5 linked regions of the Ovis aries genome follow. The main gene of each other region encodes a partner of the protein of the gene in region 5 in a complex. Links are inferred from orthologs where the notes say so. Each region holds a gene or a part of one and is shown on either strand. Other genes may lie near its edges.

Region 1 (5,990 bases), on a different chromosome or scaffold from region 5:
TCAGATAGTATCAAGGACTCAACTGACAAGAATTTCAGCAAACTAGGAGATAGTCAGGGGGCTTCCCAGGTGGCACAGTGGTAAAGAATCCACCTACCAATACAGGAGACGCAAGAGAGAGGGTTTGATCCCTGGGTCAGAAAGATTCCCTAGAGTAGGAAATGGCAACCTACTGCAGTATTCTTGCTGGGATAATCCCATGGACATAGGAGCCTGTCAGGCTACAGTTCGTGGGGTCTCAGAGTCAGACACGACTGAGCAACTGAACAATAAGAAAAAATATACAGATACTGGAATATTATCTAGCCTTAAAAAGGAATGAAATCCAGACATAAGCTACAACATGGACGAACCTTCAGGACATTATGTGAAGTAAAATAAACCTGTCACAAAAAGACAAATACTGTTTGATTCCACTTATATGAGGTATTTAGAGTAGTCAATAACACAGAGACAGAAAGCTGAATGGCCATAGGCTGGGGGTAAGGGGGAAATGAGAAGTTATTGTTTAGTGGGTACAGTTTCAGTTTTACAAGATGAAAAGAGCTGTGGAGATTGATGGTGGTAATGGCTGCACAATGGTATGAATGTATTTAACACCAGTGAGAAATGGTTATGGTGGTAAATTTTATGTTATGTGTATTTTACTACAATTTTTAAAATGTATATGTAAAAGTTAAATGGTCAAGTATGGTTTTTCCATTATTAACTATGTTCTTCCTGATGGACTACAGATAATAAACTCATTTATTCTGGGGGAGGACACATTAGGGGGACAATTCTGTAAGCTCTCCATCAGGCTACATATATTTAGAATCTAGCGAGCTCCTGATAATCAGAAAATCAATCAGAAAGTGACAAGCACAAATAAAAAGATGCACAGAGGACAGGAACAGAAATTCACAAATGGCCAATAAAAGTGAAAAATGTTCAAACATACTAGTATAAAGGAATGAAACATGAAACAAAACACCATTTTCAACTATCAAATTTAGTTTGGGGAGAGATGAAAATAAGGTATGTTGAACAAGGGACACTTGCTCCTAATTCACACTCATTGTCTTCTCTTCCTCACTCCCGTTCAATTACTTCCATATGTTTCCACCTCCAACTTCCAGTCTGGTTAGTAACGCCAATGACCAAACTAATAACCTCTGTGTTGCCAAATCCAAGTGAGCACCTCATTAAACATCTCAGAAGCACTGAGGAGCCAAGACTCCGTGGACCAGAAACCTATTTCTCATGGCTCCCATGATACTAGTTTCCTGCTTTTTCTCCTACCTCACTGGCTGTTCTTCCGTCCTGCGCTCAATCTTCTTCCTCTATAAGATCTTCAAGCATTAGAATGCCTGAGTCTCACTCTATTATTCACTTTTCTATATAGTTTTTACCTAAGTGCTCTCAGTTCAGTTGCTCAGTCGTATCTGACTCTTTGCGACCCGATGGACTGCAGCACGCCAGGCCTCCCTGTCCTTCACCAACTCTCGGAGTTTACTCAAACTCATGTCCAGCGAGTCGGTGATGCCATTCAACCGTCTCATCCTGTTGTCCCCTTCTCCTCCCGCCTTCAATCTTTCCCACCATCAGGGTCTTTTCAAATGAGTCAGTTCTTCGCATCAGGTGGCCAAAGTAATGGAGTCTCGGCTTCAACATCAATCCTTCAATGAACACTCAGGACTGATCTCCTTTAGGATGGACTGGATGGATCTCCTTGCAGTCCAAGGGACTCTCAAGAGTCTTCTCCAACACCACAGTTCAAAAGCATCAGTTCTTCAGCACTCAGCTTTCTTGACAGTCCAACTCTCACAGAACTGCTGGAAAAACCATAGCCTTGACAGACGGACTTTGTTGGCCAAGTAGTCTCTGCTTTTTAATATGCTGTCTAGGTTGGTCATAATTTCCTTCCAAGGAGTAAGCGTCTTTTAATTTCATGGCTGCAATCACCATCTGCAGGGATTCTGGAGCCCCAAAAAATAAAGTCTGCCACTGTTTCCCCATCTATTTGCCATGAAGTGCTCCCAGGTGGTCTCATAACTTTGAATATCATCTATATACTGAGTACTCTCAAATTTTTATCTCCAACTCTAGGCTCTGTTCTGGAAGCTCCAAACCTGTACATCCAACTGCCTCAATATACTGACTTCATATCTAAAATACATTTCAAATGTAATACACCCAAAACAGAACTCATGATTTCTTCCATCTCAAACTGCTCTCTTCCATTCTTCTCAGTGAACGCTGCCATCTACTCAAAGTTGCTCAAAACAAGTATCAAAAAGCAGAGTTCTCCCTTTCCCCCACCAATTCATTTCCAAGTCTTGTTCATTCTACCTCCAAAATAACTGTTAATCTTTCTACTCTCCTCCATCTCCAAACCATGGACCTAGTCCAAAGTACTGTAAACTACCCAACCTTCCAGCTTCCTCTCTTGCTCTCTTCCTCTGCACAGCAGTCAGATTATGCTTTCCTTCTTAAAACCTTCAAAGAATTCTCATAAAAGTGAAATTCCTAAGAACAGCTTCACCTGCTCCCATCTTTCAAAGAACATCCACAACCGAAAATATACTCAATGATAATAGCTCTACACAATAAAACTATGGTACCTTTCCTCATTTTTCTTTCCCGTATTTTTAAAATTTTTCTATGAATGCCTGCTCCTTGCTCATTAAGAAAGTAAATTATATTGCTGAATAGTACATAACATTACATTGCATTTTAACATGTAAATAAAAAAAGGGAATGCAAAATGGTAGTTAAAACTCAGTAACAGTTACAAGCTTAGAAGAAAATACAAGCAAACATCAAAATTCTAAGAATGAGAAGTCAGGGTTGTAGATTTACTGGTAGTATTTTCTTCCACTTTTTTTTTTTTAACATAATTACACTCATTAAAAAAAAAGGTTATGAGATAAACCTGTCTTCTGCAATCTGGCCACAACCCACCAAACCAGCCTTTCTTTTCCCAAGTACTCATTTTCCCAAGCTTTTCACTCCAACCCGGCACTGTCTCACAGCTCTGATGCTTTAACGCGGGCACCATTCCTGGAATATCCTCCACCTTTCTAAATCCTACTCATCCTTCACGGCGGAGACGAACGATAGGGAAGGCGACAGGTTGAAGGGAGATTCCAGGATTCTTGCTGATAAATTCACAACTTGCCGGTGCTGGGACCAAATTTTGTCTCCAATCCCACTGCAGGCCACCAGGTTTAACATCCTAAAAGCTCCCGCCACTGGGGCCCAGGGAACCCATATCCTCTCAGAAAGCGCGGTGCCCCTTAGAAAGAACACCCCTCACACCCAAATTCCGGGTTCCCGCTGCGGAGACTCCCCAGCCACACACACTCACCCTGGACCCAGTTTCCTCCTCCGGGGCCTCTCGGCTCCACAGTCACTCGTCCCCTCCCTCCCCTCAGCCAGGGGGCCGGCGCCTCAGGCGGGGTGGGGGAGGGGCGCGCACGTGCCCGCGCCGCCCCCGCCCAGACAATGCCCGGGAGAGCGGAGCGCGCGCCCGGCGGTCCCATCTCGCTCCCGCCAACACTTACCCTCTTTCTGGGTCTCCGGCTGAAGCGCAGACACCGCCGGGTGCCGCGAGAGGGCACGGGGGAGGGGAGGAAGCGGGCCGAGCCCCGCAGAGCCGCCCCACCACGAGGCCCCAGCGACCCCGGAGCCCGCGGAAGCACACGGCACGGCGGAGCCCGCCCGGCCCGTTTGGCCCGGACGTCAGCACCAGGGACGGGGCGGGGCGCGCGCCGCGGCGGCGGCGGCGACGCGCGAGGTTCCGGGGGCGGAGCTCGAGAGGTTGTGGGCGGGGGGACAGAGCTCGCAAGGTTGTGGGCGGAGCCGGGGCCGGGGCCGGGCCGGGGCTGAGACTGTGCCAGACTCTCACCGTGACCTGCACTGCCCTGCTTCCTGGGGAGAATGGGCGTCTATTCTGGTGAAGGCACCATCATATATAGTTTTCTCCTTAGAGGAAGGTAACAAGTTGCAGCCCCAAGAAAATATTCTGCCGGCATTTATGAAGCTTCCACAGCAAAGAAAACAGTAGCTATGATTTTCGTGTGTTTAATCATATACCAAGCTTTATACTAGGTGTTAGGGATACAAATAACTATAGTTATTACTAACCTGTTTTACAGATGCAGGAACGAAGGCTCAGAAAGGTTGGATCTTATCTAGGTCATGCAACTAGTGAGTAACAGTCCATCAGGTACTGTTTTCCACCTAAATATCTCTTGAGCTCAGCCTTCCTTTTCCTTCTCCCTGTGCCCCGGTACAGCAAATCCCACATCTATCTGCCCAAGTCTGCTATAGCCTCACATCTGGTCTCCAGGGATCTATTTCTGTCCCCCTTCAATCTGTTTTCTTCACTAGGTAAAGATTTACCATTGAAATGACCAAGGTTTAAAGGGTAAAATTTTACCCTTTACATTTTTTTTCACTTTACATACATGTTATCAATTTTTTGAATGTGTTTGATGTTTAGTAAAAACGTTTTAAAGGATTTACTCCTATATTGTCAATAGCAAGCCCAGTGCATTGCACATAGTATGCAGTCAAAATGTATTTGTTGAATAAATGAATAGTGGGGCCAGAAACTTACTCCAAAGCACTGCATGATAAGGGAATACAGGGATTTATAAAATGTCATTGTTGGCCTCCTGATCTTAATGTCTATTTAGGGTAATGGCAGATTAAAAATATTTGTTCAAGACTTCTCTTGTGGTCCAGTGGCTAAGACTCCAGACTCCCAATGCTGGGGGCCTGGGTTCCATCCCTGGTCAGGGAGCTAGATCCCACCTGCTACAACTAAGAGTTTGTGTACCACAACTAAGACCTGGTGCAGCCAAATAAATAAATATCTTTTAAAAGAAAGCAATATTTGTTTAGCAATTTTTATGTGTGTTTCTATTCTATGTCCTGGCACTATGTGCCTAGCACTATGTTAGATACTGTGGATCAGAAATGAACAAAACAGTTTCTGCCCTTGTGAGACTGACAGTCAATCTAATCTGAAAAGCCAGGAAAGAACTCACTTAGACTTATGCTAAAACCCAAAAAGAGAATAGGAATGGGGAGATAAAAATAAATTTCGCAGAGAAAGAGGTAGGATAAGTGGTCAGCATGGATATATCTGTATTCTCCTACTTTGGGGATCTAACCCTGAGGCAGGGGATTAGAAATATCCAGCTAAGTGTGAAGGAATCTTGAAGCCCACTGTCTCTGGCCCAGGTTGGAAGGCTGCCCAGTTCTGGCAGAAGTCTCAAATTGATCAGGGCTTAGGAAAAGACAGTGGCGTTAAGGAGAACAAACAATCTGAAATGGTGCTGCTGCTGCAGGTAAGTTGCTTCAGTCATGTCCAACTCCGTGTGACCCCATAGACGGCAGCCCACCAGGCTCCCCCGTCCCTGGGATTCTCCAGGCTGCTGCATGTCTACAATTTGCAGATGGTGTGCTGGAAACCCAGACTTCTCTTATGCCTTCTGCCAGGCAAGAAGAAAGTAGCATGAGAACCATGCAGGTAATGGCTGGAGAATGTGGCTAAGACCCCAAGGATGGGCAAAGCTGAAAACCCCAACAAGAGCTGAAGTGCTCCCAGTCAGCTGATGAGAGGAGCAGGGATGGGAAGGTGAGACGTCAGAGTCTCAAGGTACTAAAGCAACAAATTACGAGTTGACAGTCAACAACCTCAGCAGCTGATACCAGGCCCTGGTGACCAGGTATGACTAGGGACATGGCTGCGAAGGCCAGTGAGGACCTAGGCTATAGCTCACAGCTCTGCACAGACCTAAGACTCCTCTGGTCACTGCCTCAAAGCTTCCTTTTGGTCCCACAGGCCATCTTGGGATGTCAAGAGTGAGGAGGGGAAAGTTCTGATAGGACTGTAACTTTAAATTGACTGTTCACCCAAAATGAGATGGTTTAAGATCATACAACTTTGGTAAGCTTTTTTTTGTTGTTGTTTTACCAGAGTACTTTTTTTAGATGGA
Region 2 (6,033 bases), on a different chromosome or scaffold from region 5:
AAATCCAGGAGTAGCACTAGCTTTTAAGGTGATCACTCGGAGGATTTGGACCTGGGCTTCTCAAATTGAAATTTACGTATGAATCTCTGGAGATCTTGTTAAAATGAAAATTCTGACTCAGGAGGTCTGGGTGAGTCTGACACTCTGCATTTCTAACAACCTCCCAGGTGATGTTGATGTTGCTGATCTCAGATCAGATTTTGAGCAGCAAGGATCAGGAACACTGTTATACTATAACTTCTTGAACTGTGTTATCAAAATGAAAATACACCATTTAAAAATTCTTGTATAGAACTCGTGGATTTCTAATGGTAAGAGAATAAGTCCATAAATCTCATCTTGAGGACAATGAGCTAAACCCACAGTATATCTTTTAATTAACAAGAAAAACTAGATTTGGAGGACTATGAGACCATGGCCTATTTTACAAACCAGTGTAGAACTTTGCTCCTAGTAAAGTGCTTGGCATATATTAGGTACTCAATAAATATTTGTTACATCAGAAAATAAAAAAATACAGACTCTGGATTTGGAAGAACATGGTTCAACTCTTCAGACTTTCCACTAATTACCTGAGCAACTTTGGCCCAGTCATTTACTCTCATCTTCAGTTTCCTCCTGGAAAAGTGGTGACATGCTTAACAAGGTTGTTGGGAAGATTTTTAGAGAAAAGTAACATATAGCAAAGCCTTGTCTTACCGATAAAAGTCACTCTCTGGGTCACTGTGCCGGACCTGGAACGGTGCACTGGGATTCTTACAATCTAAAGGAAGGAGATCATCAGGAAGAGGAGGTGACCCAGGGCAGGACGGAAGAGGTTCACTCTCTTCAGTCTTTACACCTTCTGTCTGTTGCTGATTCTGGGCCTGTGCTGTGGCAATGAGGTTACGCAGACGTCGGTTGTGCTGGATCAGCTGAATGGTGTGGATGGTGAGGCTGCAGGGCTCTGAGGGGATGTCCAGCATAGTGGGGGGCTTGGGCTTGTTGGCTGAGGGTTGGTGCAGAGGCGGGTCATGGACTTCTACCAGTCGGAACTCCCGAGGGAGCAAGTCAAAAGAACTTCTGTTGGTCTGGCTTGATGAGATTGGTATCTCTCCCCAGTATCTCAACATTTTGGAATCACAAAGGAAGAGCTCCCAAGTTAAATGTGGATGGTATCCTAAAGGCAACGTTTTAAAATCTCCAGCAACTGCAGGTTAAGGGCTTCTGTAGTGAGGAATACGAGGTCTAGCCAGGTATTGACATAAAAACTAGGCAGTTCAAGACCACTTAGAAAAAGTCAGTGTCAGCAACACTGTTGGACCAAGGACGTTCTTCCTGAAGAAATTAAGAGAAATATAACTGTTAATACCACAGTCATACACTGTGACAATTCCTACTGGACTGAACCACAAGGTAGAGTTTGGGTCTTTAGTAGACTAATAGCTGCAAGAGTATATTAGGCTACGGGGTCCATATTTTCCAACTCACCCCACTAACTTATTACCAATCCTGAGTGATTTGCAAGGCAAGACACTTAAATGAGACCTGGAATATTTCTCAGAGTATCTTGACACATCTTTCCTGGATCCACAGGAGAAAAAGGAGTAGAGTTAAAGATAGGAAAAGGTTCTTCTTCTTTTTTTTTTTCCGCTGTGCCGTGTAGCCTGTGGGATCTTAGTGCCAAGTCCTAACCACTGGACTGCCAGGGAATTCCTGATGTGGTTACTAATCTGTGAATGCTTCCCAGGTGGACTAGTGGTAAAGAAACTGCCTGCCAATGCAGGAGTAGGAGACATGGGCTCAATTCCTGGGTCAGGAAGATCCCCTGGAGAAGGAAATGGCAACCCACTCCAGTATTCTTGCCTGAAGAATCCCATGGACAGAAGAAACTGAGGGGCTAGAGTCCAAAGGGTCTCAAAGAGTCAGACACTACTGAAGTGACGTAGCATGCATGCATATGTGCCAAGCATGGGAACCTTTAACTAATCCTGGTGGAAAATTTTATGAACCACTATCCTAAATGGCCTTATGCATTCAACTTCTGACGTTCATAGGGAAGAATCTCAGATATCTGCTATCTCTTAAATAATACCCCTTCCTTTAGTCTCTCCTTGTATCAAATCTACTCTCTACAGTGATGCTGTGCTGTGCTTAATTGCTCAGTCATGTCCAATTGTTTGTGACCCCATGGACTGCAGCCTGCCAGGCTCCTCTGTCCTTGGGATTTTCCAGGCAACAATACTGGAGTGGGTTGCTATGCCCTCCTCCACGGGATCTTCCCAACCCAGGGATTGAACCCAGGTCTCCCACACTGCAGGCAAATTCTTTACCAACTGAGCCACTAGGGAAGCTCAAGAATACTGGAGTACCCTATCCCTTGGCCAGGGGATCTTCCCAACCCAGGAATCGAACCCTTGTCTCCTGCACTGCAGGCAGATTCTTTACCACAGCTGAGCTACCAGGGAAGCCTGTAGTGAGGCTAGATTTAATATTTTAAGCTTAGACCTAATGACTTCCCATTGACTACTGGAAAAACGTCAATGTTTTTTGATTTACCATTCAACACCAATTACAATCCAGCTTCAACTCACCTTTCCAGACTTATTGGCCATATGTCTCTTCAAATTCAATAAATATTTATCAAATGCCAAGTGTCATGTGAGGAGATAAAGACTAATTCAAGGTCCTTACCCTGAGGTGAGGGAGAAAAACACGAAAAGAATGTTTCAACATTAAAGTGTGTGGTCAGTGCTGTTCCAGAGACACAGACCAAGTTCGGTGAGAAAACACAAAGGAGGAACTTCCTGAAGAAAGTGACCATCTTAGTTCCAACCGTATCAGACTTCTCTGGTTGCGAATGCCATGCATTTCCACAGCTTAATGACGTGATCTCTGCAGGTAATGCCTTGCTACCTGCCACATCCCTGGCAGACTTGTATTCATCCTTAAGCATGATTTAAGTCACCACCCTCTATCACCTCCCCAACACATCTCCCCTTGTTAAGTCTCACAGCACTTTGTATGTCTCCATCACAGCATTTATCCCTGTATTTAAACTAGTACTTGTTTCAATTTTATTCTTCCATCTGTCTCTCACAGCTGCAATCTTGGTGTCTAAGATTTGAGTGCCTACTACATGCCAGGCTTTGCCTCTACTGTTAATTCAATTCTCCCAACCTTTCTATAAGTAGATGTCATAAAAAAAAAAAAAAGAGGTAGATACTATTATTACCCCACTTTTCAGACGTGGAAGCTGAGGCCTTCTGTCTTGCCTAATGTCGGAAACAGCTGAGAGGGAAGATCGAGATGGTCTGGATCCAGGGTCTGCACTCTTAACAACTACACTACGCTACCTCAACTGGTTTCAGAAAGAATAAAAGAAGGAAAGAATACATGAATGAACCAAGTGACAACAAAAATCGCCCTCTCCACTAACTTGACCCAAAGGAGCAGGAAGGACAGGCATCAAGCACAAGCAATGCCCACATCCCCATCAGGGCTCCTCCCTCACCATCAGCGGACTCGGGCGCCAATCACAGTGTCCTGGGGTCGTCTAAGGCTGGGGCAGCCCACACACAGGGAGATGTGGACCTGGACCGAGGCAAGGAGGCTCCACTATGGACTGCCACTTCGCAGGCACTGAACTGGGCGGCTGATGGGCTCCGAGAGGCCTGAGATAAGGGTCCTATCAGGTCCGGAAGGCTGGTGTGTTGACCAGTGGTTCAAGGCTGCCGGAAGCGCGTCTTCTCAATCAGGCTCCGCTGCAGGAAGTCATTACGACTCGGTTGCAACCTCTAAAGATGTCCCCATTCTGACAGTACCCCGACCGCCTTTTTCTTGTTTTCCTCTTACTACAACTTCCAGGGATAACTCGCTTCTTCACAAAGCTCTGGGTCGTAAGGGATCAACTCCACTATCGCTGCTAGAGAAGCGTCTGGAGGCTGGAGAGAGGGAGACGTGGAGAGGAATGTAGAGACCCGAGGAGGGTGAGGTTTCCCAGGGACAGATTTTGAGGCTGCTCCTGATTGAGGATGGCTGATAGTGCCTCTCAGTCCGAGCCGCTGGCTTCGCCGGAACTCGATGACGACTTCAAGAAGCCAGCCCTGCCGATGTCCCCGGCGGCGCGGAGTAAGGCCCCGGCCAACAATCCTCCAAACCCGGAGGAGGTGAAGGAAAGGCCCACGGCGCTGCCGGACTCTGATTCCGGGGAGCCGGATGTCCCGCCGGCCCTGCCAGACAGCAGGGAGACTAGGGGTCCAGCGGAGGAGCAGCCGCGGCCCCACACGGCGGCTCCTTCCCCTGGCGGCCCGTCCCGGGCTCCCCCTTACCGAGAGCCGCCGTGGGGCGGCCCCACCACGGCCCCCTACAGCCTCGAGACACTAAAAGGCGGCACCATCCTGGGCACCCGCAACTTGAAAGGACTGAGTTGCTGCCTTTTCGGGAGGCTCCCTAGCTGCGACGTGTGCCTGGAGCATCCTTCGGTGTCTCGCTACCATGCCGTGCTGCAGCACAGGGTGTCCGGCCTCGATGCAGAAGGTGACGGCCACGGGCCTGGCTTCTATCTCTACGATTTGGGAAGCACCCATGGCACTTTTCTCAACAAAACCCGTATCCCACCCCGCACCTATTGTCGGGTCCACGTCGGACATGTTCTTCGCTTTGGAGGCAGCACCCGGCTCTTTCTTCTTCAGGTAAGTAGAAAACCTTAGAATTGAAATCTCTGGAGCCCAGTCGGGTGCGTTCCTGAGCTCCTTAAGTTTTCCCTGATAAAAGAGATTGTCCTTTATGAAAGTGCGGGAATCTGGCTCCTCATCTCCAGACGTCTTTACGCCTTCTGAAAGTGACTTCAGCCATCCTGAACTCTAAAAGAATTCTTTCGCTTGATTCATCAGGGACCAGAGGAGGATCGAGAGGCAGAATCCGAGTTGACAGTAACGCAACTGAAGGAACTGCGCAAGCAGCAACAAATGATGTTGGAAAAGAAGATGCTGGGAGAAGACTCAGATGAAGAAGAAATGGATACCGCTGAAAGAAAGGGAAATACTAGTAGTCAGGACGATGAAATGGGCTGCACCTGGGGAATGGGTAAGGCATTAAAACTGCTGCCAGAGGTTAATAAATCCGTTTCTACTGGCATAGTTAATTTTTAAAAATCATACAGCTTTCATGACTCTTTGAGAAAGATGAGGCAAATACAGTTTGCACATAGGTTACCAAAACTTAGATTTATTAATTTTTCTGATGCCAAAAAACTGAATTATGGGCCTAATTGATTTCTTTTCATGTGTTTTACAATGCACTCCCTTGTTAAAAACTCTTAGCGTATAGTTTAACAATTAAAGTTTATTTCATTAATTAAGTACTGATTATCGCTAGAGGGAGTAAAACTACATTCAATCAAATAAAAGGGGATATTATCTAATACAGGAGTTCTGTCGAATTTTTTGTACTTTGTGTAAACACCCTGAAATGTGAAATATCTAATCAGAGGCATAAATTGAATTTTCCATAACACCAGACATTTTGGCGGATAGGTATTTGGGAGTGGAGTCTGAAAAGCTGGATGACCTTAACTGTGTTGTGGGGAAGACAGATAAGTGTTATGAAATTACTTGTGGTAAGTGCCAAACAAAAGCTGGAAACCACTAGTATGCCGGACTAAGGGTTCAGAGAAGGGAGCAGCCCCTGAGTACCTAGACCTGCACCATCCAGTATGGTCATCATCAGCCACACTGGGCACTTACGGGGTGGCTAGTCCAAACTCACATGTGCCGTAAAGGTAAAATACACACTGGGTTTCAAAGGCTTAGTGTGAAAAACGAATGTAAAATATCTCATTCATAATACTTTTCTTTTGATTACATGATAATTTCACCTGTTTCTCATGTTTTTAATGCGGCTACTGGAAAATGTAAGATTGCATATATGGTTTTCGTTATAATGCCTGTTGGGCAGCACTGACAGAACTTTGGGACAGTGCATAAGTTTATAAACAGAAGGGTTTTAAGCTGGGAATTGAAGGAAAGGAAAAGAAGCCCTTAGGAAACTGAG
Region 3 (5,865 bases), on a different chromosome or scaffold from region 5:
AAAATTATAATTGTAGCATATATTTCACATAAGTTTCTCAATTCTGACTGATTCTCAGTAATTGCTAATTATACCTGAAACCATTAAGTATTATTTATACATAAATGGGGAAACCTTAGTTAACAGATTTGCCTAAGGCCAAACCCTTCACAGTATACTTTGCAGTTCTTAACACTCAATGTCAGTTCTTTCCATAATGCAACAGAACATGTTAGAACTCATTTAAGAATGTGTTCACAGAAACCCAGAAACAAAATAAAAACATCTTTTAAGTGTAGAACTCCCTCTATTTGTGTGTATGTTATCTTCCATGCCAAGTCCATGTTCTTAAACTCAAGCAAAATATCTGTATTAAATTTTTTAAAAATTTTAACTAGGTTATACAATTTCAGATTTACTGGCAATAAAATTTGTTCAACTTTAGCTTGCATTTTACAAAACTGCCTCAAAATTTGCTCTGAGAAGGCAAAGCAAAGTGGCAAGTGAAATGTCCTGAAGCAAAGTCTAGTTCATTAAACTTATTACTAAAAAAATCCAAACTTAAATATGTGAGAATCAAATCACTTTAAAATGTACATTATTCCACTTGGATGTATCTTACATTCCTAAATAATCAAATTGACAAAACAGCATTAAAAAATGTCATAATCAGCTTTCCAGAATCAGTCTATAAAATTACACTTTAAACACCTAAAAAAATACACACCTTAAGAATTTCTTTTAAAGAATTTTAATCACTCAAGATAAAAATTTCTTTAAATGATTAAGCAATATGAGATTATAAATATATAAAGTCTATCCCTCTAACGGGAGAATTTGGGGTTAAAATGTACATCCTTATCTAACACTTAAGAACAGCAATATTACAAGAAAACAAAAGTAACTTTATAAAGCTCTAACAGGTCAATACATTATTTTTTTTAATTAATAAATCATCCTCAGTACATAAGGAAAATGCTTTCACTGGAACTTTCTGACTCATACATTAAACTGAATTTAGCATATTCCGAAGTTGAGCTATTTAACTAGCATACTGCTAGCTACAGCTGTACTTTTCTTCCATCACGTCAATCAGAAATCTAAATATATCCTAGAAAAGAATAAACTCTACCCAAGAAGACAGACTGTAAGGCATTATTAGATTTTTGGAAAGATCCCCACTTCCGTGGTGTAAACAAATGTTTAAGCAGATCCTTTTGAAATCTTTTGCAATTTTCATTAGAAAGGCAATGTTGATAAAAGATCTGTTTTCTCTTTTATGAATTATAAAAGGAAATTACAGCTATTTGTGTTGGACAATCTTGTGAAAGATTTGTGACAACTGCACATATAATGTAAAAATAAAAACACAAGAGGAAAAATAGACAACTTGGCTTTCATTTTACTTGCCAGAGTACTCTAAACAAGTAAAAGACTAGCTTTAAAGTCAAATATACCTTTTCCTTGGGGTTTCTTTTTCTCCTTATGTACTGAAATGGAAATGTCAAAGTATGTTTTATGTATCAATAAGAATCAAAAATGAAATTACAGAAGTCATTTCAAAAATGAAATGACAAAATACTTCTGTCAATAATTCCTGTAAAATACTGTATATGGTGAATATGAGAAGATGTGTCCTCTACTTCAGTATAACAGGAAAGTCACCTTTTAAAAAGTTAAATTATAACAATAAAATGGTAGATAACTGCCTGCCTACCAAAATTAAATTAAAATTAATCTTTTTTTCTGACTTCAAAAGCGATCCAGAAATTGTTAGAATTTTAATTGGGTTATTATAAAAGGCAAGTTATCACTTCAAAATTGACCACAACCTTCCCCTAAGATTATATGTACCAGTCACAGAAAGTGCTTCCCAAAACATTATGACTAGTAAATGTCTCCCCATTCCTGAAACAAACCATCAGAATATGGTCCCCCAAAGCCCTATTAACTGAACTAAATCCTTTCCAAGATACAAGAGGAGAAACTGTTAAACTTTCAGAAGTGTTCAATAAACGCTTAAGCGTATACATCTAAAAGGGGACGACAGAAGGAAACAAAAGGGAAATGTTCCACGAAAAAAAAAAATCTCACAGTCTTTAAACCCAAGCTTTAAAAACCTACCTCTAAGGCACAATGCAAGCTATGGAAGGAAGAAAGGAAGGAAGGATAAAGAACACTGACTGCTTCTTTCCTACAGAATAGAACTGGAGTGCTTTGGCAACTTGTTGATGAACGGTAGGGACCATGAAACCATTTTTAAAGCAGAAAATATACTCCAGTCAACACTAATAAACTTTACAATTGTGAACATTTACGTTAAGAATATTTTTACTCGTGTTCTGTAAATTGATCTTGTCTCCTACACTGGTGAAAAAGGTCGGGTGGGAAAGGGGTGCCCTCTCCACTCAAGCTTGAACTTCCTGTCTGAATTCTAATTCTCCAAGAACTTCTGGCTTCCTCTCTCAGTTGTCATGATCCAGGTTTCAATTTAGGCAGGCAAAGTTCTTGTTGCTTAGGTTTACCTGGCTGTAGGCTGAGACCGCTACTACTACTTTCTTCGGGGGGATGTTAGCCGACTTAATCGCCTGCAACTCTCACCTGCATTTGGTATTTGGAAAGGACCACGAGAATACTACACAGAGGTCTGAAGGCACCGGCTGCCTCCTTGCCCGCAATGGCTTTTCAGTTACCAATACTAACCAGGAGACAGAACTGAAGGCTTTGACATGAACGCGTCACGCGACCAGCAGGATGTCCCCGGCCCCTCTTTGAAACAAAATCCCACAAATACCACTTACCTTGTATGACGTGCTCTGGCGAGATGGTTTTCTTTTCCGATTTGTTGCAAATCTCATTGGCTTCAGAAGATATAAGGTGAATGAATTCAGTGCAGCAGTTCACCACCAGCTCCCGGGCATCGTTGGCCACCCGGACATTGGGGAGAGTCTCTTTGATCATCTTATTGATAGCAGCTCTGGGTATAGTGAGATCATCATCGTTGCCAGATGAGGAAGCCATCGCACCTTCTCTCTCGCGCCCCGACTTTTAAAAACTCCTTTAACTCTGGTCCACGACGATTTTTCAAAAGGCCGCCCTCGGAGAGCGATCCAGGAGTCCCTCTGAGATGAGCGTGCAGAAAATTAAGGGGCCAGGGGTGGCTGGAGAGAGAGGGGAACACCCGTGTGTGTGAAAGATTTAAGGCGAGATTGGGAGCAAAGTTGGAGGATAGGGGGGTGTTGAGGATTTTGGGGACAGCACTGCCCAGGTCGGAGAGGGGAAGGCAAGGTGGTCCGGAATCTGAGCACTAGAAAACCCCCTTCGTGTCTCCTCAGAGGGGCGTGCGCTGTCGTCTAACCGTTCCCCAACGGCGCGGAGCAGAGGCAAGGTCCGGGGGCACTGGTCTGGCCGCGGAACAGGGCGGACACTCAGCGGGCAAGGCTCTACAGAACCGGAGCCCCCGCTGCTGCCGCCGCCGCCGCCGCCGCCAGCAGCCGATGCCGCCGCCTCTGCCAAACCATCCTTCAGACACCCGCGCCGCCGCCTCACAACATGTCGGCCGCAGCCGCTGCCGGAACCGAGGCGGTCTCCTGGGAACGAATACGGACAGAACCAGGCACAAGGAGACCGGCAGCGGCGTCTGCTGTGACCGTTTAGCCCGAACGCAGATCGTGGAAGCCGAAGCCGCCGCAACGGTGGTCCCTCCAGAAGCCAGCGAAGCTTTACAGGAAGCCTCTCCCGATACCCTTTGCGCTACCGGAAGCCTCGCCCCCACACGTTACCCCCCCAACCCCACTTCCAGACCAACTTCCGGGTGTGGCAGCCGCCCTTCCCCCACCCTTGTCGGCGGGAACCGCCCGTCTTCTCCGCCAGCAGCTTCCGCCTGCCGCAGTCCCGGCACGCGCTCTGGGGTCCCGCCCCTTCCCAGGGATAGTGACCGGGCGAGCGCGCGCCTCGCGGTACCGAAGACACCCGAGCACGCGCCAGGGCTTCGGCACCAGAGGCGGGTTGTGATGGGTGGGTGTACTGGCTAGGGTGGATCGCTGCTACTACCTTCTCTCAGCCAGCTGAGGCCTGCTTAGCCACGTTTGGAGACAAAGGAGCGGAGCGCTGGATTTCGTTCAAAGAACTTGCTTTGCTAACGTTCAGTTCAGTTCAGTTCATTTGCGAGGAGCCCGAATTGAGATTGAAAGGAAGAAGGACGAAGTCCAGGCTCGGGAATGGGATGTGGGGAAAGGAAAACTCCGTTTTCCTGGGTCTGCATCGTCCTGAGGAAAAAGTTGTTGATGATATCTAATAGACTTTATTCGGACCAAAGATCTCTATGGTCCTCCACCCCTTTTTCTGGGTTTATGGGAATGAAACAGAGAAGTGACAGCCACTACTAATTAACAGCTAAGCTGGAAACTAAAAATAAGATCCAGAGTAGTGGAGAGGCGTAGTGTACAATGAGCCAAATTACAAGATTCCCACTTAGACGTTTTCCGTGATGTATTGGTTCTGATAAGGTAGGGGAAAGTGGGTTAAAGTATGTTAAGAAACTGATTTTCTCTTCTTTCCCGGGAAGCAAACGTGTGGCAAGTTCTTTACAAAAATTGCATTTTTTAAAAAGTAATTTGCCATAACGTCTTTTTGAAGAAGAGGCTGTTATAAATAGAGTGTTGCAATTTCTCAAAAGTAAAAGAGATAAAATTTAAATCAGTTTAGGCACTTTAGTTAATCATATACAGTTGTACACTGGCAGCAACTGGCTTGTTTGAAGTGTTTTCTTAAAAGTTTTGTATTTTGGTGTACGACCCTAGATGTCACATCTTGAGGAAATCATACTTCTTGTTTTTTTTTTTTTTTTTTTTCCATTTAGCATTTTCTCTAGTATACTTGCAGGTTCTTTAATTTCTACAGTGTAGACATTTGTTTCTTAGCATTATTAAGTTTAGTCAAAATAAAATGTCTTTGATAAAATGATATTTTAAACTTTTTCTTCAAAATAGGAATGTGAAACTGTTGGCTCAGATGTAGGCCTCTATGAAAGAATTTCCTTCCTATATATATATCTTGTTTCCTTTCTACATGCTTGTTTGTTTCCTACATAACTTCATAATATTCTTCTGGAAATCCAATTTTTGTTCTTCCAACTCTAAAGGGTCCAGCTTTCAATGAAGAATACCCCCCACCACCACCACAACTAGAGAAAGTCCACTCCCTGGAAGACCCAACATAGCCAAAAATAAATAATAATTTTAAAAAATTAGAAAAGGAAGTACTACAGATGCAGTGAGCTTCTGGTTTGTTCATCCCTGTATCCCTGGGGCCTGCACAGATCCTGCTACATAATAAGCAAATATTTGTTAACTCTGGAGGTGAATGAGGACCTTTAAGGATAGCAGAGTAAAAAAGAAGTCCAAAGACAAAAAGAAGAAAGTATGTCAGGGGATACTTGTTAGAAACCAAGAAGGTATAGTGCAAAGGAAGCCATGAGGGGAATTTTTTTGTTCATGTGTGCACACGTGTGCTAAGCCACTTCAGTCAAGTCCGACTCTGCAACCCTATGGACTGCTACCTGCCAGTCTCCTCTGTCTTTGGGATTCTCCAGGCAAGAATACTGGAGTAGGTTACTGTGCTCTTTATTTTTGGCAGCCTTGGGTCTTTGTTGCTGGTGGGCTTTCTTTAGTTGCCCAGAGTGGGGGCTACTCTAGTTGCTGTGTGTGGGGTTTATCATTGTGGTGGTTTTTCTTGTTGGTTTCTCTAGGTGTGCAGGCTCAAGTTGGAAGGGTGTGAGATGCCACAGAGAAGCATTGTTGGAAGGGGATCAAACAGTCACTGAAGTAAAAGGTCAATATGAGAAAGCAGAAGTCAACATGAAAACAGTTTAGGACAGAAATGCAG
Region 4 (5,781 bases), on a different chromosome or scaffold from region 5:
GATTTCTATAGAATAACATGCCATTTAGATCAAAGTTCTCAAGTTTTTAATGATACATAAAAGTGCTCTACCTAGTTACCACTCCAAAAAGGCAAGAAAGGTCCAGTTCTCAGAAAAAAGCAGATGACATCTCTAATTCTTTTCTTGGGTCTGTGTAATGGGACCATCTCACAGGTAAAACTATCCAGGAAAGATGAAAAGATGAGGCTTTTTTTTTTTTTTTTAATAATTCAGTATCTGAAAACTTTTGGATAGGGGCCAACAAATGCTTGCCCTATTCAAAATCCTACTGCTTCTAGCTAAGAACATTAAATACAGGGGGAGGTACATTTATGAAAGTTCTGATTTCATAATTTCTGCATTTGTTTTTGTTAAATATGCACATAAATATGTAACAAATATATCATTCCTCTGATGTCTTCCGAATCACATTTTCATTGTTTTCAATTTTAACCAATTTTTTAAATTTAAAAATCAACTCATATATTCATATTCATATATATTATAAAGTCTGCAGCTACATGGCAGCATATGTTTACTTCAAATAAAAATTAAACTATTATTTAGCTGTGGAAATCTGAAATTTAAAAACAAATGTTTTTCCACAATAGTGAAATAAACAGCCAAAGACTGGATGGAAAGGTCAGACTCACTGCTAAACAGTATTTTCTAGTACAATGTAAGAGTTCATGAAAATTTCTCCTAAATTGGCTATGTATGGCCTATTACGATAAAGTTATACATAGAAAACTACCACAAACCTGAATATAAAATTAATACCAAGATGAGTCAACATTTCAGAGGGAAAGCCTCCATTTTTAGTATTTCAAGTGAATAAAAGTGAATCACTGTAAACATTTTTAGGGACACGTGTGTTATGGCATATATCCTGCATCACAGGATCAAGTTAACTCTTATTTTTTCAGAAATCATTTATTTAAAATTAGTCATGTTTTCTACAAAATAAGGACAAGTGTTCTATTAGTTAAGATCTTATGAACTGTGATTATAATAAAACAAAAAAAATGAATCACTGTACCAAAGAGATCCAAAGTTCCCCAAAAGGCACTATATGTATGAATGCTGTATGACAGAAATTTACCACCCTTTGACCAGAAATATTTAAAGTCCATATTAGACAAGTGTAAAGAAGTTTTGTGTAGGATGCACTGGCAAAAATTAGTTTGTTATTTTAACTAAATTAGTTTGTTATTTTATATTAAGAAAATCATATTAATCTTAATTTCTATTTTTTAGTGCTTATAAATGTTTCAACAGCTTATGCATGGAAGTAACCCATCACTATACTTTTACAGTTCTAAAGGAATCTATAATTGATTATAACAAACTTACAAATACAGTTTGGGGATAACGCAGGCAAATCCTCAACCAAAGCAAAGCATCAAATTTTCTAGAAAATAACTTATAGAAATTAAATTGAATGTCTGGATTATATTCTCATTTCAATTTAGCAGAATTATATAAACTTTCAAGTGCAAGATACTTGGTCTTTGAAGAAACCACATAACAATGCCACAAATTAACTTTAAAACTATCCCCAATACATCCAACTATTATTCAACAAATTCCCTATTAGTAATATATGAATTCTGTGCATTTTTACCTATAGAACTTGTAAACCATTCAGTCAAAAAGGTATTAGTCTGTCATTAATATGAACTATTTAAAATACACATTTCAGTAAAAACTTTATTACACTAATATAAAAATCCAAGTTAACAATAAATATTTCTTCAGCTTGGTAAAATGCAGCAACCAGAGGCAAAATCAGTATTCAATAAATTCAAAATCTGGGCTAGGAAAATTTTAACATCTGATTCTATGTTTCCTATTGAGGAGAGCTAATAACACAATGATACTATATAGAAGGAACTAGGCATTTTACAACATAGATTTTTTTAAATTTCTTAATCTTGTTTCAAAGGGAAATAGTTATTTCCACCAGGAACAATTTTATAAGTATAGTATTCTGGCTTTCAGTATCTTTAACAGTACATCTCAAAATATAAAGAGTATCACCAAATTGGCTAGCATTTAATTGATGAGATAATCTTACTTTTTGACAATCTTATTTAGTCTTATTTATGGCCCCTTTACTCTGTCATGAAAACTAACCAAATATTTACTCTCTAGATATTTTTGACAGGTGACATAAGTAAATTTTAACCACAGCACTATTTTTACCTACAGAATGTTTAAAATTTTTAAATGAGTTTTAAAAATTCAGTATGCAAACTATTTCAAAAGATAGGTTTAAATTAACGTTTTTAAAAAGTATCTCATCAGTGGTGGGGGGGTACTTTTGTAAACTTTAGGTGCATATAAACTTTTTAAATCTTGATATTAGGATTAAAAAAAGAAGTTCCAATGTCCACGCCATAGAAAGTTCTCCAACTTTTAAACCATTTACAGATCTTGAGTCTTCAGACTGAAATAATTACCCTAAGTCTTAAAAAATACATAAATAAAAGTTCTAAGTCCTTGACAAACTAATGAGTTTAAAAGTTACAACTTTTAGCTGACTCTATTAATAATCATCCCATTACTCCAAAATGAATGTTTAACTAAGACCAATGCTCTCTGTAAGTCAGGACAAACATTGAAATTTTTTTAAATACTGAAATAACCTTTTAAAAGACTGATTCACCATCTACCCAAGGCTTTTAAAAATAATTTTCACAAACACTCTATTTTCATAAAGGAAGTTACCGTTATGTTCAACGCAAACGCCTAAGTCCAAGATTTTTTTTAAAACATTTCTTTTTGAAAGCAGATAAACATATTTTCAAGCTGTTTCTCATTTAAAATTTGCTTTGCATTTACATCAGTAAACAGTGCTTTCAGTGCAAGCAGTACCTTTATTTAAGCTCCATTTTATTATGACATTTCGACAAAAGCTATTTACCAGCCAGTTAAACTAATAAATAGTTGAATTACGAGTTAAACAAATTGTGATGCAAGCTGTATTGACCAAAGGTAACTCAGCCAACTTTATGCTACAAACAGTTTAGGTTAATTCTTTTTCTCTTCCGCCTTGTTTTAAAGGGGAAGAGATGCAAGCTACGGCCAGAAGGAAAAAAGTAAACAAAAGCAAGTGACTCATAAGAGCAAATCACCCTAAAGAGGCGGAGAGAGCGCTATTCCAGAAATCTCAGGCCCTACGAACCTATCAATTTCTACAATGAATGAACTGGAGGAAAAACGATCCTGAGGCTCCAGGCGCCTCCCAAACCATCAGAGAAGCTCTTCCGTATCCAATCTCTCCAAGCCAGTTTCTTACCGAGCCGCGTTTTCACTTACACTAGCCTCATTCACTCATGGTGAGAAGAGCTGCAAACCTAGCCTGTCACCGGTCAGGATATAACCCGCGCGGCCATCCTCATTCAGCCCACAGGGTACCCGGCCCACGCTCCTCCCCCGGCCTCTGCTGCTCCAGCCGGCTCCCACACCCTGCAGGCCTCCGGTGGCCCCTGCCTCCGCGCAAGGGAAAATGGGAGGAGGGGCAGGCCTGTTCCCAGACCCCTACTCCACAGAGCATCACTCACTTGTCCAGCCAGGTTATGCAAGGAGCGGAAGACTTCGCAGACTATCTCTCGGGAGAGGCTGGGGCTGCAGCTCCGCTCCAGGCTCCTGTCACCGATCGTAGGGCGACTAAGCTCAGCGGCTGCAGCCATGACACTTTCTGAGGCTGCCCCAGCCAGCACCAAAGTGCGCTCACAACCCACCCCTCCCTCCATCGCCTCTGTCGCTCCGCGATGATGTCAAAACACTGCGTCTCTTTTAGACCAAGGCTTTGAGGACCCTCTGTGTGACTGACAAGCATCTGCCCCAATCAGGTTCCGCTGAGGACCGCGAGCGGATGATTGCCGACCTACGTGAGGCTGGCCACAGTATTTCCACTGGAGATTGGAATTGGTAGCCAAAGAGGGTTAGCTTCGTGAAGTCTACCTTGACCCAGATGTTAATGATGAGTATTGCTAGAGAAAACTTTTATAGTTAAATGTTAGTGATTTAGTCCCATATTAAAAGTTAAAATTTTAACATGGCCCTGTGGAGTGGCCTGGAGAAAGATCGCTCGTCAGGGATGCAGCGCTGCCAACGATTGTTTGTAAATATTGAGAACTTTTCCACATAGAATTGTCATAACTGGATAGAATATTTTCACCAATATTCAAATTAACATCACTAATTTTTCATTAGAGGAAGAAGATATAAAACAAAAATGTTTATGCCTCATTTATTATCAAGGGAATGTTAGATCTGCAAAGTAATTCTGTCAAGTTTTAAAACTGATGAATCAGTTGTTTTTCTCTGGGTAATAGGATAGAGACACTCATCCTAAAACTATTTCAATAAAGGGAAACACTGTCAAGATGATCCCAACAGGAATTTAACCCGAGTAAGCAATCGCATGCAACACAATCTCTGAAATCAGAATATACAAATCCAAATTGAAAATTGACAAAATGTTACTTATCAGATAACTTTGTTAAAAGATGCTTAGTTTGTAGTATTACAAAGTCTAACATTAAAAGTCTGTCCTGTGCAATTGAAGAAAAAAGTTTAGAAAGTTTTTAGTGTTAAAATCTGTTACGCTTGAACAATAAACATTGTCAGTATAGAGATAAGGGAGGAAGGATTTAATGTTCTAATAATCTAATGCCTTTAGAAGAAGCAGAGATGGAAACTTGCACAAAGTGTATTCTTCAGTTTTAGAGTAGTCTGAATGAAAGGAAAGGAATAAGGCACCAAGGAACTGGGATTAAGAGCAATAGGGGTTTTTAAAAAGCCTTTGACCTGTCCCTGCTGCTGCTGCTGCTAAATCGCTTCAGTCGTGTCCGAATCTGTGTGACCCCATGGACGGCAGCCCACCAGGCTCCCCCGTCCCTGGGATTCTACAGGCAAGAGCACTGAAGTGCTGTTGCCATTTCCTTCTCCAATGCATGAAAGTGAAAAGTGAAAGTGAAGTTGCTCAGTCGTGTCCGACTCTTCCCGACCCCATGGATTGCATCCCACCAGGTTCCTCCGTCCATGGGATTTTTCAGGCAAGAGTACTGCAGTGGGGTGCCATTGCCTTCTCCCTAAGTAAGTGTTAATCGCTCAGTCATGCCCGACTCTTTGCGACCCCATGAACTGCAGCCCACCAGGCTCCCCTGTACATGAGATTTTCCAGGCCAAGAATACTGGAGTGGGTTGCCATTTCCTTCTCCAAGGGATCTTCCCAACCCAGGGATTGAACCCCGGTCTCTTGCACTGCAGGCAGATTCTTTACCAACTGAGCTACAAGGGAAACCCTGCCTTCTCCCTAGGGAGGCTCTTAATTAGGCTTTCATTTTCAAAGAGCATCAGGCTTGATAGGGTCTTCAGTAGTCTTGTCTGGTCCCTGTTCACAGCAAGATATACAGTTTATAATCCAGCCTATGTCTAGAGATGTCAGATAGAAAGATCTCACAATATCTAATCCCAAATTTAAGCAACCTTCTCATTCAAGCCACTCATCCTCATATTTAACCTAAATTCAGGATTCTTTGCGATGTTAGCATATTTTCTCTGCCTTTGGTTCTCTTGTTAGAGAATCATTCTAATGAGGTAACTAGTTTCTGTTTGGTAACATATTAGCAACCAATTCCAGATCATTTGTTTTCATCTAGATGTGAGGTCTTTCTTTTATTCCCCCAATATTCAGGACACTGGTATGAAACACATTTGGGAACTTGATTTGTATAAGAATACCATCTTTAATAAGATACTGCTCATCTT
Region 5 (4,946 bases):
ACATAGCTCAGAATCCGTCTCACCACAGCATTCCAAGAGTACAGAGCTTACACTTGAAGAGAAGCCAATTTCCACCCCTGTTCTAGTCCTTCTGTAAGATTTTTCTCTGTTTTGCCACACTGTCTTTTCATTTTAAACGTGGTTCATAGGTATCCACAGATTTCCAAGTGGTGCAGTGGTAAAGAATCCACCTGCCAGTGCAGGAGATATAAGAGATGGGTTTCGATCCCTGGGTCAGGAAGATTCCCTGGAGGAGGGCATGGCAACCCACTCCAGTATTCCTGCCTGGAAAATTCCACGAACAGAGAAGCCTGGCAGGCTACAGTGTATGGGGTTGCACAGCGTCGGACTCGATGGAGCAACACACACAACCCACATACACACACACATCACATCACACACATACACACCACACCACACATACATACCCACCCCACACATACCCACCCCACATACACACCATACCAGACACACACCCCATATACACCACACCACACACACATACCCACCCCACACACACACCACACCACCCCACACACACCCCCACCCCACACATACACCCCCCACATACACACCACACCACACACACACACCCACACCACACCCACATACACACATACCCACCACACACACACACCACACCACACCACACCCACCACACACCACACACACCCCCACCCCACACATACACCCCCACATACACACCACACCACACATACACCCCCACACCACACCCACATACACACACACCTCACACACACACCCACACCACACATACACACCCCACACCCCCCACATCACACACCCCCCCCACACACACCACACCACACATACCCCACACATACACACCACACATACACACCACACACACCCACACACACACACGCCCCCACACACATCCCACACCGCACCACAGACACACACCCACGCCCCCCACACATACCCCACATACACACCACACCCACACACACACACCCCACATACACACACACCCCACATACACACCACACCCACACACACCACACCCACACACCCACCCCACACATAGACACCCCACATACACACCACACCACAGACACCCTATACACATACCACACCCACATAAACACACACCCCACACACACACCACACCACACACACCCCACACATACACACCCCACACATACCCCACACCACACACACACACCACACCACACCCACACACCACACCACACCCACATACACCACACACACACACTCTCTCTCCTGACTGATCCAGACCCTCCTATGCTCCTCCAGCCACCAGGTGGGAGCAAGAGGTAGCAGGAGAGGGTGGAGTCCCATTTCGATACTGAGGCCCAGGGTGACTGGGTGCCCTGCCTGGTGCGCAGCACAGGATGGCATCATTTCAGGCCTTGTCCCCCTGCACTCCTCACCCTGGCATACTGGGCCTCTGATCTCTTCTGAATCATCCTGTCCTCCTATCTTCAGAGAGGGGCTCCCAGAGCACAGAGGCCATCTTTGTCTCCCAGGTCCCTGGGCGGCCTCCAGTCCCTGTGTCTGGCCCAGGCTGCTCCCTGTCGGAGAACAGAGTTGTGGGACAGGTTGTACCCTTCCCCACAGATTCCTGTCCATGCTAGAGGAGGAGATCTATGGGGCAAACTCTCCGATCTGGGAGTCAGGCTTCACCATGCCGCCCTCAGAGGGAACACAACTGGTGCCCCGGCCAGGTACGTGCGCAGCAGGCTGTCTGCTTGGCCTTCCTGGCTGAGCTCAGCGCCTCTGGGGGAGGAGGGGCTGCGACTGGTAGCAGGGGGGAAGTGCAGGAGGGCTCGACAGGAGTGGGAGAGCCAGGCTATCTTTGCGGGACACACCCTACCTTTGAGTTCCATCCCGATTGTTTCCTCTTTCGCTCTCTCAGCTACAGTCAGCGCTGCAGTTGTTCCCAGTGCCCCCATCTTCAGCCCCACCATGGGTGGGAGCAGCAACAGCTCCTTGAGCCTGGATTCTGGAGGCGCTGAGCCCATGCCAGGTGGGTACTTGACCCCTGACCTCCACCCCTCGTTTCCCCCACCCAGCCCTGGCCCGGTCTCTCTTGCTGTGCCTGGGAGACCTTGCCAACCCCCTCAGCAGGCGAGAAGAGGAAGCTCCCAGAGAACCTGACCCTGGAGGATGCCAAGCGGCTCCGTGTGATGGGTGACATCCCCATGGAGCTGGTTAATGAGGTCATGCTCACCATCACCGACCCCGCCGCCATGCTAGGGCCCGAGGTGGGCAGCCCAGCCTCCCAACCCATTGGGCGGGGGCTCACCCCCGCAGACCCTGGCTCATCACTCCCTGCTCTGGTTCCCAGACGAGCCTGCTGTCGGCCAACGCCGCCCGGGATGAGACTGCTCGCCTGGAAGAGCGCCGAGGCATCATTGAGTTCCACGTCATTGGCAACTCGCTCACACCCAAGGCCAATCGGCGGGTGTTGCTGTGGCTGGTGGGGCTACAGAACGTCTTCTCCCACCAGCTGCCGCGAATGCCCAAGGAGTACATTGCCCGCCTCGTCTTCGACCCGTAGGTCCCTGGGAGAGCCCAGGACACCCCCCACTGCTCCCTGGGCCTCTTCCTCCATCCCTGGGGAATTCTTGCTCCTTAGTTCCCAGCACTGTGTGCAGCTCAGGCCTCCGGGGTGGTGGGTTCCTGAGGAACATTCAGGGGACGGGTAAGGCCTGTGACCTGAGCTCTCTCCCCTCAGGAAGCACAAGACTCTGGCCTTGATCAAGGATGGGCGGGTCATTGGTGGGATTTGCTTCCGCATGTTTCCCACCCAGGGCTTCACGGAGATCGTCTTCTGTGCTGTCACCTCCAATGAGCAGGTCAAGGTGAGTCTGTGCTCGCCCCCAGTGTGGGTAGAGGTCAGGGAGCTCCTGGTCCCAGCTTCATCCCACCCCCTGCTTCCGAGTCTGGACCAGGTCAGAGCAGCACAGTAGTGACACAGCTGCCCCCAAGCCTTCTTTTAATGGCCCGACACTTCCTCACATCCCCACAAGGTGGCAGTTGTAATTTGATAACTGAATTAAGAAAACACCTGTCGACACAGGGTGCCCAAGAATCAGTAACACTTGTTTTCCGCTAGTTTTATGGAGATGCAACTGACATGTAGGACTGTGTAAGTTTAGGATGTACAGCCTGACGCTTCGACTTATATACATCATGAAACAACCACAGCGAACATCTATCATCTTATATAGGTACAAAATGAAAGGAGCAGAGAAAAAATGCTTTTTCCTTTGTGATGAGAACTCTGCAGATTTATAGTAACAGTTTTAAAGGGATCTGTGTTTCCTTCATCACAAGAGCATGTACATGCATCGGAGAGTTGATAATTTTTACAACAGTCCCGCTCTGGGTGGTCGTCCTGTCTTCTATCCTGTCACAACAGGCCGACTAGTAGGGTCCCCGGTTTGTCTTATCTGTTTTTTAAAATGGTGTGGCTACTTTATTTTTTATTTTTATTTTTTGGCTGCACTGTGAGGCTTGCCAGGTCTTAGTTCCCCAACTAGAATCAAACCCACACCCTTGGCAGTGAAAGCAAGGTATCCTAACCACTGGACCACCAGAAGATTCCATGATTGTCCCATTTTCCATAACTCAGATCTGCGTGGTGCCTCCGGTCCTAATGTTTGTGGATGACAGGGTGTCTCTTTGGGGTTCAGATGTCATGATGAGGGGGGCCCTTGTGATCCCCTCTCCCCTTTCCTCCAGTTCTGAGGCCCAGGGACTGGGAACCGTGGCCTGTGGACCACAGCTTCCCGGTTGGGTTTAGATCCAGGCTCTCCCTGCCATGGCTGGTCACCTGACCTGGACATATTTCCTGACATAGCTGAGTTTCAGTTTTTTCTTCTGTAAGATGGAGGTAATGATAGCTGTTTCATGGGTTAACTTGAGGATTGCTCTGTAAAGAACCAAGCGTCGCACCTGGCCTGGAGTAAGCGCTTAGAAACCCAGCATCCTTCGCTTTTCTGCCTATAAGCTCCCCTTCCTCTGCCGGTCGCCTTTCCTCCTGCCTGACTCGGATCCCCTGGCTGTCCCCACCTCCTTTCCAGTCGGCTCCGTCCTGTCCCCGCCCTCCTCTCCCCCCCTCCTGAGGCCGCTCTAGCTGTAGGCCCGCCTCCTCCCGCCTGATGAGCTCTGCCCCTCCCCTGCAGGGCTACGGCACTCACCTGATGAACCACCTGAAGGAGTATCACATCAAGCACAGCATCCTCTACTTCCTCACCTACGCCGACGAGTACGCCATCGGCTACTTCAAGAAGCAGGTGACTCTCACCTCTGTCTGCCCACTGACTGGGGCCCGGGGTCATTCTGTCTCGCCCCCGGTGCGGGTGGGCTTCATGTCCCCTGTTCCATCCAGCACCTGTAGGGAAGTCCTTCATGCCTGTCTTCCTCCCTCCTGCTGCTGCCCCAGGGAAGAGGCAGCTGGGAGAGCTGGGAAGTTCTCAGGGTGGGGCGCAGGGGGCGGGGGTGAATCCGGAAGGGCTGCCGGCCTGGAAATGTTCCAGGGACAAATTCAAGCTGGAAGAGCCTTGCTGATGGGTTGGTGGTAACTCTCCACTCCCTAGGGCTTCTCCAAGGACATCAAGGTGCCCAAGAGCCGCTACTTGGGCTACATCAAGGACTACGAGGGTGCGACACTGATGGAGTGTGAGCTGAACCCTCGAATCCCCTACACAGAGCTGTCCCACATCATCAAGAAGCAGAAGGAGGTGCGTATGCTCACGTGCGTGTCTCCATGGGGCTCTCGTGAACATGCGCTTGAGTGAACACGTGTGTGGGTATAGAGATGCGTATATACCTGCTGTGCACACATGAAGTGGGGCTGGCCAGGGTCTTGGTTCTTGCGCTGCCTCGAGGGGCAAGTGGGGGAGCCCTCCCTGCCTGCGGCCGGAGAGTCTGGTTGCTGGAGCTGGGTTGGCCTC

What was found.
Region 1: KAT2A (region 5) and YEATS2 share a complex: the UniProt entries of both Homo sapiens proteins name them as parts of the ADA2A-containing complex. The link is inferred for Ovis aries from reciprocal best matches to the Homo sapiens genes KAT2A and YEATS2.
Region 2: KAT2A (region 5) and SUPT7L share a complex: the UniProt entries of both Homo sapiens proteins name them as parts of the STAGA transcription coactivator-HAT complex. The link is inferred for Ovis aries from reciprocal best matches to the Homo sapiens genes KAT2A and SUPT7L.
Region 3: KAT2A (region 5) and DR1 share a complex: the UniProt entries of both Homo sapiens proteins name them as parts of the ADA2A-containing complex. The link is inferred for Ovis aries from reciprocal best matches to the Homo sapiens genes KAT2A and DR1.
Region 4: KAT2A (region 5) and MBIP share a complex: the UniProt entries of both Homo sapiens proteins name them as parts of the ADA2A-containing complex. The link is inferred for Ovis aries from reciprocal best matches to the Homo sapiens genes KAT2A and MBIP.

Annotation. Positions count from the first base shown.
Region 1 is NC_056054.1:204,211,538-204,217,527, forward strand, and holds the start of YEATS2 (YEATS domain-containing protein 2), read right to left. Parts: upstream 3,732-5,990; 5' UTR 3,546-3,731; intron 3,404-3,545; exon of another isoform or gene 3,350-3,403; intron 1-3,349. UniProt on the Homo sapiens protein: Chromatin reader component of the ATAC complex, a complex with histone acetyltransferase activity on histones H3 and H4. YEATS2 specifically recognizes and binds histone H3 crotonylated at 'Lys-27' (H3K27cr).
Region 2 is NC_056056.1:34,683,576-34,689,608, forward strand, and holds the start of SUPT7L (STAGA complex 65 subunit gamma), read right to left. Parts: upstream 3,732-6,033; 5' UTR 3,494-3,731; intron 2,675-3,493; 5' UTR 2,574-2,674; intron 1,318-2,573; 5' UTR 1,113-1,317; coding exon 700-1,112; intron 1-699. Other genes in the region: SLC4A1AP (kanadaptin), read left to right, coding at 4,014-4,673, 4,875-5,067.
Region 3 is NC_056054.1:70,553,727-70,559,591, reverse strand, and holds the start of DR1 (protein Dr1), read right to left. Parts: upstream 3,732-5,865; 5' UTR 3,001-3,731; coding exon 2,781-3,000; intron 1-2,780. UniProt on the Homo sapiens protein: The association of the DR1/DRAP1 heterodimer with TBP results in a functional repression of both activated and basal transcription of class II genes.
Region 4 is NC_056071.1:44,239,031-44,244,811, forward strand, and holds the start of MBIP (MAP3K12-binding inhibitory protein 1), read right to left. Parts: upstream 3,732-5,781; 5' UTR 3,696-3,731; coding exon 3,567-3,695; exon of another isoform or gene 3,067-3,566; intron 1-3,066. UniProt on the Homo sapiens protein: Inhibits the MAP3K12 activity to induce the activation of the JNK/SAPK pathway. Component of the ATAC complex, a complex with histone acetyltransferase activity on histones H3 and H4.
Region 5 is NC_056064.1:41,980,177-41,985,122, reverse strand, and holds part of KAT2A (histone acetyltransferase KAT2A), read left to right. Parts: intron 1-1,602; coding exon 1,603-1,709; intron 1,710-1,900; coding exon 1,901-2,011; intron 2,012-2,109; coding exon 2,110-2,249; intron 2,250-2,332; coding exon 2,333-2,541; intron 2,542-2,722; coding exon 2,723-2,849; intron 2,850-4,175; coding exon 4,176-4,286; intron 4,287-4,589; coding exon 4,590-4,733; intron 4,734-4,946. UniProt on the Homo sapiens protein: Protein lysine acyltransferase that can act as a acetyltransferase, glutaryltransferase, succinyltransferase or malonyltransferase, depending on the context.